Linked DNA regions of Mus musculus. The protein of the gene in region 1 purifies or fractionates together with the protein of each later gene. This does not show direct contact. Links are inferred from orthologs where the notes say so. Each region holds a gene or a part of one and is shown in the gene's direction. Other genes may lie near its edges. The genes, in order: Slbp, Ctif and Mif4gd.

Region 1 (3,169 bases):
CAGTCAGAGATAGATAGATAGATAGATAGATAGATAGATAGATAGATAGATAGATAGATAGATAGATAGATAGATAGATAAACAAAAAAGGAGCTTGGAGATGGCTCAGTGGTTAAGAGCACTGGCAGTTCTAGAGAACCCAGGTTCAATTCTTCACATCGCAGCTCACACCTGTCCTACTCCAGTTTTGGAGGGTCTGTCACTCTCACACAGACATGCAGCAAAACACCACTGCAGGTGAAATAAACAAAAAAAACCAAAAAAGGATATTTTCGGGTGTGTGTGAATTCTCAGACTAGTCCTCTGAGCTGGGTAACCTTTCTTTTTGTTTTGTTTTGTTTTTCGAGACAGGGTTTCTCTGTGTAGTCTTGGCTGTCCTGGAACTCACTCTGTAGACCAGGCTGGCCTCGAACTCAGGAATCCGCCTGCCTCTGCCTCCCGAGTGCTGGGTTTAAAGGCGCGCGCCACCACATCCAGCTTGGGTGACCTTTCACTTTGAGTTGGTATCAGTATTTTGTGTTGGGTTGATTGGTCAGGAATTAAATTTATCAAATATGAAGTGTTCCTTAGGAAACAACACTGTTGTCGTGGTGTTTGGCTTTAGCAAACTTTGTGATAGCAGCAGGTAATTGACAGGCTTGTGTTGTTTCATTTCTCAGACAACCTGTAGATCTTGGGGAAATGGAGACTGAATTCACAGAAAGCAGCTCTGAGTCTCAGACAAGTTCACAGGATAACTTTGTAAGTACTTTGGATCTGTCTCTTATCTTGGGTGTTTGAAGTCATTTGAGAGTACATACCACTTTACATACCCAAGGTTAGAACTGGAGTTTGATTATAATGCGTCTGAATAAAGGACTTTTTTCCATCAAGAAATACCAAATTGATCACAAATTGGGTTCTGAGCAGTTTACCTCAGTTTGGGCTTACAGTGGTGAGCTCCTGGTGTAGGGATCACCTGAATGCTTCTTAAGGGAATTGGTTAGGTTTTTTGTCTTTTCAAGATAGGGTTTTTCCAACAGCAATGCTTGTCCTGGAGCTCACTCTTTAGACCAGGCTAACTTCAAACTCAGACCTGTGCAGTCCTGGTTGTTCTGGAACTCACTGTAGAAACCAGTTTGGCTTTGAGCTCACCCAGGTCTTCCTGCTGATGCCTCCTTCATGCTGGGATTTGCCTGGCCTAGGGGCTAGTTTTTTTGTTTTTTTATGATAAAGCTAGGTGTGGTGGTGCATGCAGGAAGATCAGAGATTAACTCATCCCCAGTAAACTGTTTGAACTACACAGAATAGTCTTTTCACTGGCTCAGTAGTTAATGATCTGGTATAAGGTACCTTTATGTTTGTGATTAAGACCTTCCATTACTTTTATATATATATGTAAAATATCTAGGTTCTGAAGTGGCAAAATGCGAAAGACTTAAAACACAAGCAACTATAAGCTGTTCTTATGCTTTGTTTGACTATGGCAATAAACAAAGGTACCTTATTCTGGTTCCCATCTGTCACTCCAGGTGTACTCAGGTTTATTGATCTTTTTGATAGCAACAATGGTTGGGACAAGTCAAGTAACATAAATGTACACTATTGAAATGTCAAGACGATGTTGGTCTTGGCTTTGTCCTGCTCTTCTGGGCAAGTTCACTTGTGCTCAGGGTAACTACAAGGAAGCCTGTGTGATGGACTGATGCAGGTATGACTGCCTCTGTTTTCTAGGATGTGTATGCTGGCACACCCACCAAAGTCAGACACGTGGACTGCCAAGTGGAGGATGAGTTTGATTTGGAAGCTTGTTTAACTGAACCTTTGAAAGACTTCTCTGCCATGAGTTAACTGCCACCTGGTGGTTACTCAGAGAAATACGTGGCTCTGCCTGGCCACCTGGAAGGCCTGAGTTGCTCTGCATTTGTTTTTGTTGTCTCTGTTAAGAGTTTATTTTCTCATGATAAATTGTTTTTCTTGCCTTATTTTTATGTATGGTAAATGTGTTAGGCATGTTTTAAGTTGTAAATGAAGCTAAATGCAGTGGAGACTTAGCCCTATTATATTTTTGCCCCCCAAGTTAGACAACAGGAAACTTGAGCCTTCAGTTGCCACTTTTCAGATGTGTTGGCAGTGGATTTTAACCATGTGTCTATGGGACCAATTTAGAATCAGTTGCCTTTCAGGTAACTGATAAAGAATTCTCAGTCAGGCAGCTGCAATGACTCTGTAAAAACTTATTTTCTGGTCTTTTATCAATGTGAATGTAGTTTTCCCTCATACAGAGCTCTGGACAAAGGATGCTAAGCTATTATATTAATGGGCTGTATGTAAGTTATATAGTTTTAATTTGGAACTTGAAATAGCATTAGTGTGAGGTAAGTATCTTAGCACATGCTCTATGAGAGTTGAGGCAGAAGAGAGGGACTTAGAAAGAACTTTGTTTTTTTAATGATCAGTTAATTTACCATGTAATATTGCTGTAAATGATAATGTGTACAGTTACTCTGTTCATGTATCCAGTTGTAAACTTGTCAATATTTGCATTTCTATTGCTTTTGTATGGAATGATAATTGCAAAAATAAAGACCCTTTAACTGACTTGTAACATTGCCCTATACTGTTTGGAGGGTCAGGGCAAGCCTTTCTTTTGTACCTGAACCACTTGTATGGCATATGGGAATGTTACTTCCCTTCCGTGAGAAAACCATGCACAAATCTGGTCGGTAGTGGCCAAGTACAGACACTGTTTCCTTGTTAAGTTCCTGTCCGTCGGATCTGTATGGAGACCATGATGATTATAATGCTCTGACATGGGACCTGCTTACATGTTCAGGGTAAAGCTTCACCATTATGTGCCTAAGCACAAAGGGCGGGTGCCTTGGTATTCTTGACCTCTGTCCACCTGCAGGTTCTATGTCAGCCACAGTAGTGGCCCTGAAGACTTATAGTAGGGCTGAGACCATCAGGTTGAGATGAGTGAGCAGGGGGTAGGGGGTCTAGTGATGCCGGGTAGGTGGCATTGAGTCATGCCTTGAAAAGCAGCCAGTGCAAAGGCCCTGAGGTGGAGTCGAGGAGTGGATAAGTTGGCTCTCTGAGACTAAATGTGGAGGCTAGGAGGACTTGAAACAGTAAAAGCTGGAGGAAAGTAGGGGGAGCAGTACCTCCTGGCTCTTGCCCTGAATAGTGT
Region 2 (3,749 bases), on another chromosome or scaffold:
CTTTCACAAGACTGTGAAAGGCCCTCCCACAAGATTGGGCTCCTGGAGGGCAAAGACTGAGGGCCTTACAGGTCCCTGCATGTCCAGCTGTGCTCATTAGATGTTTTACAAATTAATCACTCAAAGGATTTCTTCAGCGGGTCTGTTCCAGCACCTCCAATATGCACCTGACTCCACTGCTTGGTGATGCGTGCAGCATCTTATATTTCTCCTGGAGGCTTCTGTGCTTTAACCACCGTTTTAACCAAAACAGTGGAGATCAAGTGATGACCGAATTATCCACTGCATCGAATTCCTCCAGCCGGCGTCCCAGCTTTTAGCATGGCCAATGGAAAATTAATTGGTCGCAAAGTGCATATCTAATTACAACATCCCGCCCCTGCCCGAGCGATGCGCAAACGTTAATTATAACATATGAATCTCAATAACCGACGGTGGCACTTAATGCCGCATTAATAACGCCACTTGTGTCCCCCCCCAACACACACACACACACACACACACACACACACACACACACACACACACCATCGCTCCCAGAGCATACATTACGCTTTCTCTTATCTGCCATTGGGACAGACTTTATACTTTAAGCTCGGAGTCCTTATCCTCACAGCCTGCCTGATTCTAAAACCAAGTTATCTCTGCAAGCTCAGACGTTGCCATAGCCCTCAGTTCTGTCCCCCACCGCGGAGGGCCCCGCTAATGCAAGAGGTCACTGGCATCGGCGTAGCAACACTACTCTGTCCAGGCAGTTCCCCGGCTTCCCCCGGGTTCCCAGCTCTCCAGGGCCCGCCATCCTAGGAAAGAAAGGCGAACTACATTACCCAGCAGGCTCGCCGTCTCCCTCTTTCCTTTCAAGTCTTTGCACGTGGCCGGAGGGGGAGGCGGGGCCCGGACGTCACTCTCCTACATTCTCTTTCCCTGTGTCAGTACTGGGATCATTTTTTTTTTCCTTCCTCTACTCCCTCCCTCTGCCTGCCCCTCCCTCCCTGTCTCCCTTCCCTCCCTCCCTCCCCTCTCGACTGGGTCGGTCCGCTGAGGTGCCGGATCCCCCTCACGGCTGGGACGCGCCGAACTCCCAGCAGGAGTCCGCTCTTTGCAGCCTGGTCCCTCCCTTCCCCTTCCCTGCCCCCTTCCCCCACCCCGACGCGGGCTCCGCGCGGCAGCCAGAGGAACCCCGAGGTGAGCATCCCTTGTCCTCCCTCCTCTTTTAGTCACCTCGATTTGCGGGTGGATTCGGGGACCCGGGAGGAGGGATACGTGACGTGCTCTCGATTATAGATAAATCCGGGAAAACCGCTCCAAACAATTCTCCCCCTTCCCCCTCCCAGTGCTTTAGCCAGCCCGGTGTCCGCACCCATCCTTAGTCCCCTCCTCTGGGTCTAGTGGGTACCGCACTCTCCGATCTCGCCCTCTCCCAGGGTTTGTCCTGTAGTGGGCCCAGCTCCCCGCGCGGTGGGGACCGTGACACCAGAGCTCCGGAACCCAGAGGGGTTCCTGGGGGGAACGCGCGTCTGGAGCCTCACTCGGGCTGGAGCCGCGCGGTGTAGCCGATGTCTTGTGCCCGGTTCCGACCCGCGGGGAGGAAGCTCGTGAGCAAGATTCCTTTCCCTTTTGTTTTGGAGCCTCGTTTGCTGCAACGAGCAGTTGCTCCAGCGCCAGGCAAACTTGCAGCTGTTCCGACCGCGCTCTGCGCCGAGGTCGGAGCGCGGCTGGGGAGGCGGCTGCGGGCGCGGCTGCAGCACTCGGGCTTGAGGGAGGGAACCCACGACTCTGTGTGTTCACGCTGCCCTCCCCTGCCGTGCGGATGGCTGTCCCTGCGAGCTTGGGGATGTGTGTGGATGGCTCTCGTCTAGACAGGCAGCAGACCCCTCCCTTCGTCCCCGGTGAGCCCGCGGGCCGCGGAGGGCGCGGCGGATAGGAGCAGTGGAGGGCGCCTTGGCGGAGCCATTGCAGTGACGGCTTTGGCCGTCCTATACCGTGGTGATTCTGCCGGTCTTTAAGGATGATCATTCCTGTGGCCTCTGAGTGATGGGGCCTGGGGGGCGGAGATGGGGATAGATACGTCCTACAGAGCTGGGGTTAAGTTGACAGGTTCCAAAAGCCGGTTCTTGCTGGCGGGCAGCCCGAAGGCCGTGGAGTGGGCTGCTGGGGGGAACTAGCTAGTGATGGTCACAGGTGCAGGTTTTAGGGGGAGATGGGAGCGGTGGCTTGGCTGAGGTAGATGTCTACGGGATCGGGAGGGCACGGGGATCGGGAGGGCCGCGTGCGGGTTCCTGAATGCCACAGGAGGAGGCATCCCCAAGACCGGGTATCGGAGCTGGTTGTTTGTTGGCATTAAAAAGACAGTCCAGGATTCAAACCCTGAACTCGGGCAGCCCTGGCTCTGATTTTGAGGAGTTCTCAGGGTAGGGGCAAGGGGGAGTGTGAACTGGGAAGGGGGCGCGGCTTTTAGAGGAGAGGGATCGGTGGCTGTGCCCTGAGTGTCCCCACCAGGAGGGAGGCGTCGCCTCCCCCGCCCAACTGTTTGTGTGTGTACACACAGCTTGGTCTGGGAGGGGGCGGCATAGTGGAGAACAGCGTGGGATGGATGCCTCTTGGGATTGGACCAGCTAGCCCCAAATGGTGTGAGTTGGGCTGTCTCTTATGTGTGTCCACGCTTGGGTTACTAAGGAATCCTTAGGCTGGCGCCGGGGAAGACCTTAGGGTGGCTTGGGCTCTGTGGCTGCCTGGGAGTCCCAAGCTCTGTGTGGCCCTCCCTCTACGTTTCTCTCGTCTTCCCTAGCCCAGTGACTGGCAGCCCACCCTGCGGGCTGGGAGGATCCTCCCGAGCTCTAGTGTCCCTCATCCTCAGCAAGCCATGTTTAGGATCCTTGGCCCCTAGCGCGGAGGCTCCTGGTGATGCTCGTGCCTGTGCGTTTCCTCAGCTGCCTTCCCAGATCCTAGAGAGAATCCACGCGTTCAGCCACCCCTCCCTGCCCTCGGTTTTTCAATTGAGAACCAAAGCCTGCCCGGTAGACCCTGTCTACCTCTGCCCGCAGGTCTGCGGGATCACACGCCTCTGCCTACCCCGCCCTCCCGGCTGTCATTTCTGAAGCTCCGAGATTATCCTTCTCTGGCTAGGGGCCCCTGCACCGCCTGGACACCTCAGGCTCGGGTGTTGGGAGCCTCCCCAGGTCGAAAGTGACACGGCTTAAGCACCGCCTCTGCTCGGAGGGAGGCGCGGCACAGCAGTGGGAGGAGCGATGGGCTGTCCTGCCGGGTTCCTCTTGGCCCAGCGTAGGGGCTGGGCCCAAACCTCTGGAATCTTGCTTCCTAGCAGCCCGTGGTCCATGAAAGGAAACCTCAGGAACTTTCAAACAACCCAATTGTATAGGAACAGATTGCCCTCAACAGACACTAAATAGTGTCATGATGCTCTTGGGTAGCCCAAGAAAATTCCTCTGAGTATGTGAAACAGGACTCTGCTGATAGCAATAGGCTCAGCGGTGTGTCATGTCCAATGCCTATCCTGGTGATGACAGTAATCTGCAAGGCTTTCTGGGTATCGTGCCGTCGAGGTGAGTAGATTGCTGGAACAAGAACATGTCACTCTGAATTTACAGAGCGGGGGTTTCCCCACCACATAGTACAGTTATTAAGAGGATGCTGTGAGGTAGGGAAGAGCTAATCCCACTGTGCAGATGAGGACACCAAGGCTCAGGAAATGATGTCACTTGCCTATGGCCTTCCAATGGGTAAAGGGC
Region 3 (3,749 bases), on another chromosome or scaffold:
CTGCAGACCATTGTAAGGATACTACTTGTTTCTTCTACTGCTATGATAAACACCATGACCAAAAAGCAAGTTGGAGAGGGAAGGGTTTATTCAGCTTACACTTCCACATCACTGTTCATCACCAAAGGAAGTCAGGACAGGAACTCAAGCAGGGCAGGAACCTGGAGCCAGGAGCTGGAGGTCATGGAGGGAGCTGCTTACTGGCTTGCTCAGCCTGGACCATCAGTCCAAGGATGGCACCATCCACAATGGGCTGGGCCCTTCCCCATCAATGACTAATTACAAAAGTGCTCCACAGGCAGTAGGAGTTTATGGAGGCATTTTCTTAGTTGAGGCTCCCTCCTTTCAAATGACTTTAGTTTGTGTCAACTTGACATAAAACTATCCAGCACATTACCAAAGTCCAATTGGGAGTTACAGGAGCAGAAATGACTCAAAGACAGGGACATTACCCAAAGCTCAGCCTAGCATTGCTGAACTCATGAAAGCTGGGATCATGGAGCACAGTGCAGTCTGCAGGCAGCCCAACAGATTGGAGAGACCTCCAGGCAGCTCAGTTGGTCCCAGCCTATCTTCAGGTCAACTGGAGCAGTCTCAAGAGTACACTGGGCAGCCCAGCTCAAGCTGCTGTTTCCACAGGGTGTGCTAGCTCGAGCCTTTTTAGGCCACTTAGCTCGTCTGAGTGCAATTCGGCAATCCTCGCTGCTTTTACATTCTTAGTAGGGAGGGGCTTCCAGGAGCCTGTGAGTTGTTCACTTCCCCTACTTAAAACATCCTGTGTCTTAATGCGCCTCCCTGCGTGGTGGGATGTTGTTTCTCCTTTATCTTAACCTGGAAGATTCAGGGTCGGCTGTCTGATTTTTTTTTTTTTTAAGAAGTCTTATCGACGTAAATTCCGTGCTCCTCATTTCCCCGCCCTCAGGAGCTTCTCGAGCTTTTTGGTACTATCACCCTGAGCGCTGTGGCAAACTCTTAAAGCAGCTGAGAGCTTTGGCTCCTGGTCCCTCGTGCGCAGCAGTGTTGCTCCCGATTCCCCCTAGGAAAGACCCAGGGCCCTTTATCTTGGCTGCTCCTTTGGTTTAAAACTTATTTTACAGTGAGTGGCAGGAGAGGGAGTTGCCAGAGTGTGCCCCAGCCCTTGCACTCCGCTTTAACCGGCCAAACCCCAGAAGACTACGCCCCTCCCCCCGAATAGGCCACGCCTTCCCGAAGCTCCTCCCACGCTGCCCGGCCGGGGAGAGTCTGACCTAGTTCACCTGAGCGGGGCAAGGGATATGGTGACCCCGGCGCGGGGTGCGACCTGGCAAGACCAACAACTTCACGCAAAACGCAGGGAGGGTCCGGCCCAGCGCTCGGAGGCTTTCGTGGTCAGAAACAAGGCGGAGGTGCGCCGGGTGGGAAGGGGACAGGGGCCGGTGAGCTTTCAGCGCGCGACGGTGGCGGTGTCGCAGTTGTCGGGTGCCGATCCGTCTCCGCGCCAAGCGAGGGAGCGGCCCGGGGCGGCGGCGGGGTGCGGAGGCGAGGGCGAGTCGTGGCCGGTAGGCGGCGCTAGCGAGTCGCCCTGGCGCCGCCGCCGCCGCCGCCGCCGCCGCGCGGTACCACGCCGGGCGCGCGCCGCGCGGCGCCCCAGACGCAGGCGCGGGCCAGCCCTGGCCCAACGGCTGCAGGGGTGGACGGACTGGAAACGCTGGGAGAGAGGGGCTCGGAGCCCTGCTGGTATCAGGATCTGCGGCTTGGACTGAGCCAGCGTCCTCCGTGCTAGACGATAAAGGCGAGCCTGACGTTTACACCCAGTTCAGTATTTGCACCCCGAAATTTACCCTGATACTGACTGTATCAGATCCCAGATCTGGGATAACTCAGATCCCGCTGGGACCGTAGGTGAATTCCCGCTTCACTTCTCAGATGTAACCCCAGAAGCCTGGGTTTCCTTCAGCTGAGCAGCAGGTGGCCACTTGGTGCTCAACTACTCCACCCGAAGCCAAGTTTGGTGGGCACTCAGCCAAGCACTGAACGCGACAGAAAGTCCAGTTCCACCCGTCCCAAGGCCTGGTCTGCCCGGCCCAGTGCCTACAGGGCTAGAATCGGGAGCTTTGTGATTCACCCTTGAAGCCTCAACCGTCTTTGCTTCTCAGGTGCTGTCCTTAGTTTCAGGCCAGTGAAAACCTGCCGGGCTTAGACCGTCATGAGCGAGGCCAGTAGAGATGATTATAAAATCCAGTCTTTTGATGCAGAGACGCAGCAGCTGCTGAAGACCGCGCTCAAAGGTGAGCCTCCCACCCACCACTTATTTTGTGTCAAGTTGACATAAAACTATCCAGCACGCTACCAGAGTCCGACTTGAGGTTCCCATGCATATTCCATTTGGGTAAGAGCCGCACTGGGGGCTGAAGCCCAGAGCCAGGCAGTGCCCAAGCCCTTCTTGGCTCTCAGAAAGTAAGTCACAACCTAATTCTCACCACATTTAAGCCAGTAGATTGGAGAATGAATCACAGAGTTAGATCTAAGATCATAAAGCCTTTAAGTACCCATGAAAGAGAACACTGCTTTCTCTTTAAAGGCTTTGCATTTGGTGCAGTCAGCACCCTTGAATGTACAGAGATGCCTGGTTTGGAGAATCAGCCTGGCAGAGGGGATATGTAATTGCCTGGCCCTTCCGTTGTAACACTCACGACAGAAGTTTGACAGGACAATTAGCAATTGCCGTCATGTGCTAAGCTAAACATTTTGGAGACGTCTCCATGCCTGTAATCCCAGCAGATTACAGAGGTAGGAGAATTAGCACAAATTCAAGGCCAAATTGCTCAACACAGACTGTGCCTGTGGGAGGAGAGATGGCCCAGTGATTTAGAGCATTTGCGTGCTGTTCTCCTTTAACCCCAGCAAGCAGGAGGCACGATAGCTGGCTACACAGTGAGATGCTGTCACCAAAACAAAACACAACAGAAAGCCATAAAGAACACTTGACTTGCAGAGGACCTTGAGAGGTTCAAGACCATTGATAGCTCAGTTCTCAGGATCCCGTGCTATCCTCTATCTCCGGCAAACACATGGCATGCATATATACATGTAAGAAAATATTCATACATATGACATGAATGAACCTAAAAAAAAAATTACATGGTGAGCTTGAGGCCAGCCAGAGCAAAACAAGACTATCTCAAAAAAAAAAAAAAAAAAAAAAAGTAGAAGCCTTGGCATTCAGTGTACGCCATCAAGGCAGTGCTAGAAAATAAAAGACGTGTAGCCTAAGAAACTACACTTGTGCTTTGGTCTCCTGCAGCCTCCTAATCTTACAGTCATTGATTTATTGGCACAGGATCTCTCCCTGGCTGGCCTACATCTCTCCCTGGCCTGCCTCTTCTACCTAAGTATTGGGATAAAAGGTTTACACCATTCCATGCAGAGTACAAATTGTTTTTTTATAAAGTTTTTTTTTAAAGGTTATTTATTATATGTAAGTACATTGTCACTGTCTTGAGACACACCAGAAGAGGGAGTCAGATCTCGTTAAGGATAGTTGTGAGCTACCATGTGGTTGCTGGGATTTGAACTCAGGACCTCCAGAAGAGCAGTCAGTATTCTTAACCACTGAGCCATCTCTCCAGCCCACAAATTGTTTTTTGTTTGTTCATGTGTATACCTACTTGTCTGCTTGTGAACCACACATATACTGTGCCTGTGGAGGCAAAGGAGGATGGCCAAGCCTCTGGAACTGAAGTTCTAGGCGCCTGTGAACAGCCAGCGTA

Evidence for each region.
Region 2: the proteins of Slbp (region 1) and Ctif purify together in Homo sapiens (affinity purification with western blotting; 3 studies listed by BioGRID). This does not show direct contact. The link is inferred for Mus musculus from reciprocal best matches to the Homo sapiens genes SLBP and CTIF.
Region 3: the proteins of Slbp (region 1) and Mif4gd purify together in Homo sapiens (affinity purification with western blotting; 3 studies listed by BioGRID and IntAct, with this or other methods). This does not show direct contact. The link is inferred for Mus musculus from reciprocal best matches to the Homo sapiens genes SLBP and MIF4GD.

The regions. Positions count from the first base shown.
Region 1 is NC_000071.6:33,639,473-33,642,641, reverse strand, and holds the end of Slbp (histone RNA hairpin-binding protein), read left to right. Parts: intron 1-659; coding exon 660-741; intron 742-1,713; coding exon 1,714-1,830; 3' UTR 1,831-2,587; downstream 2,588-3,169. UniProt on the Homo sapiens protein: RNA-binding protein involved in the histone pre-mRNA processing.
Region 2 is NC_000084.6:75,694,828-75,698,576, reverse strand, and holds the start of Ctif (CBP80/20-dependent translation initiation factor), read left to right. Parts: upstream 1-880; 5' UTR 881-1,185; intron 1,186-1,269; exon of another isoform or gene 1,270-1,595; intron 1,596-3,749. UniProt on the Homo sapiens protein: Specifically required for the pioneer round of mRNA translation mediated by the cap-binding complex (CBC), that takes place during or right after mRNA export via the nuclear pore complex (NPC).
Region 3 is NC_000077.6:115,610,421-115,614,169, reverse strand, and holds the start of Mif4gd (MIF4G domain-containing protein), read left to right. Parts: upstream 1-1,200; 5' UTR 1,201-1,385; intron 1,386-1,666; exon of another isoform or gene 1,667-2,135; 5' UTR 2,136-2,185; coding exon 2,186-2,267; intron 2,268-3,687; exon of another isoform or gene 3,688-3,749. UniProt on the Homo sapiens protein: Functions in replication-dependent translation of histone mRNAs which differ from other eukaryotic mRNAs in that they do not end with a poly-A tail but a stem-loop. May participate in circularizing those mRNAs specifically enhancing their translation.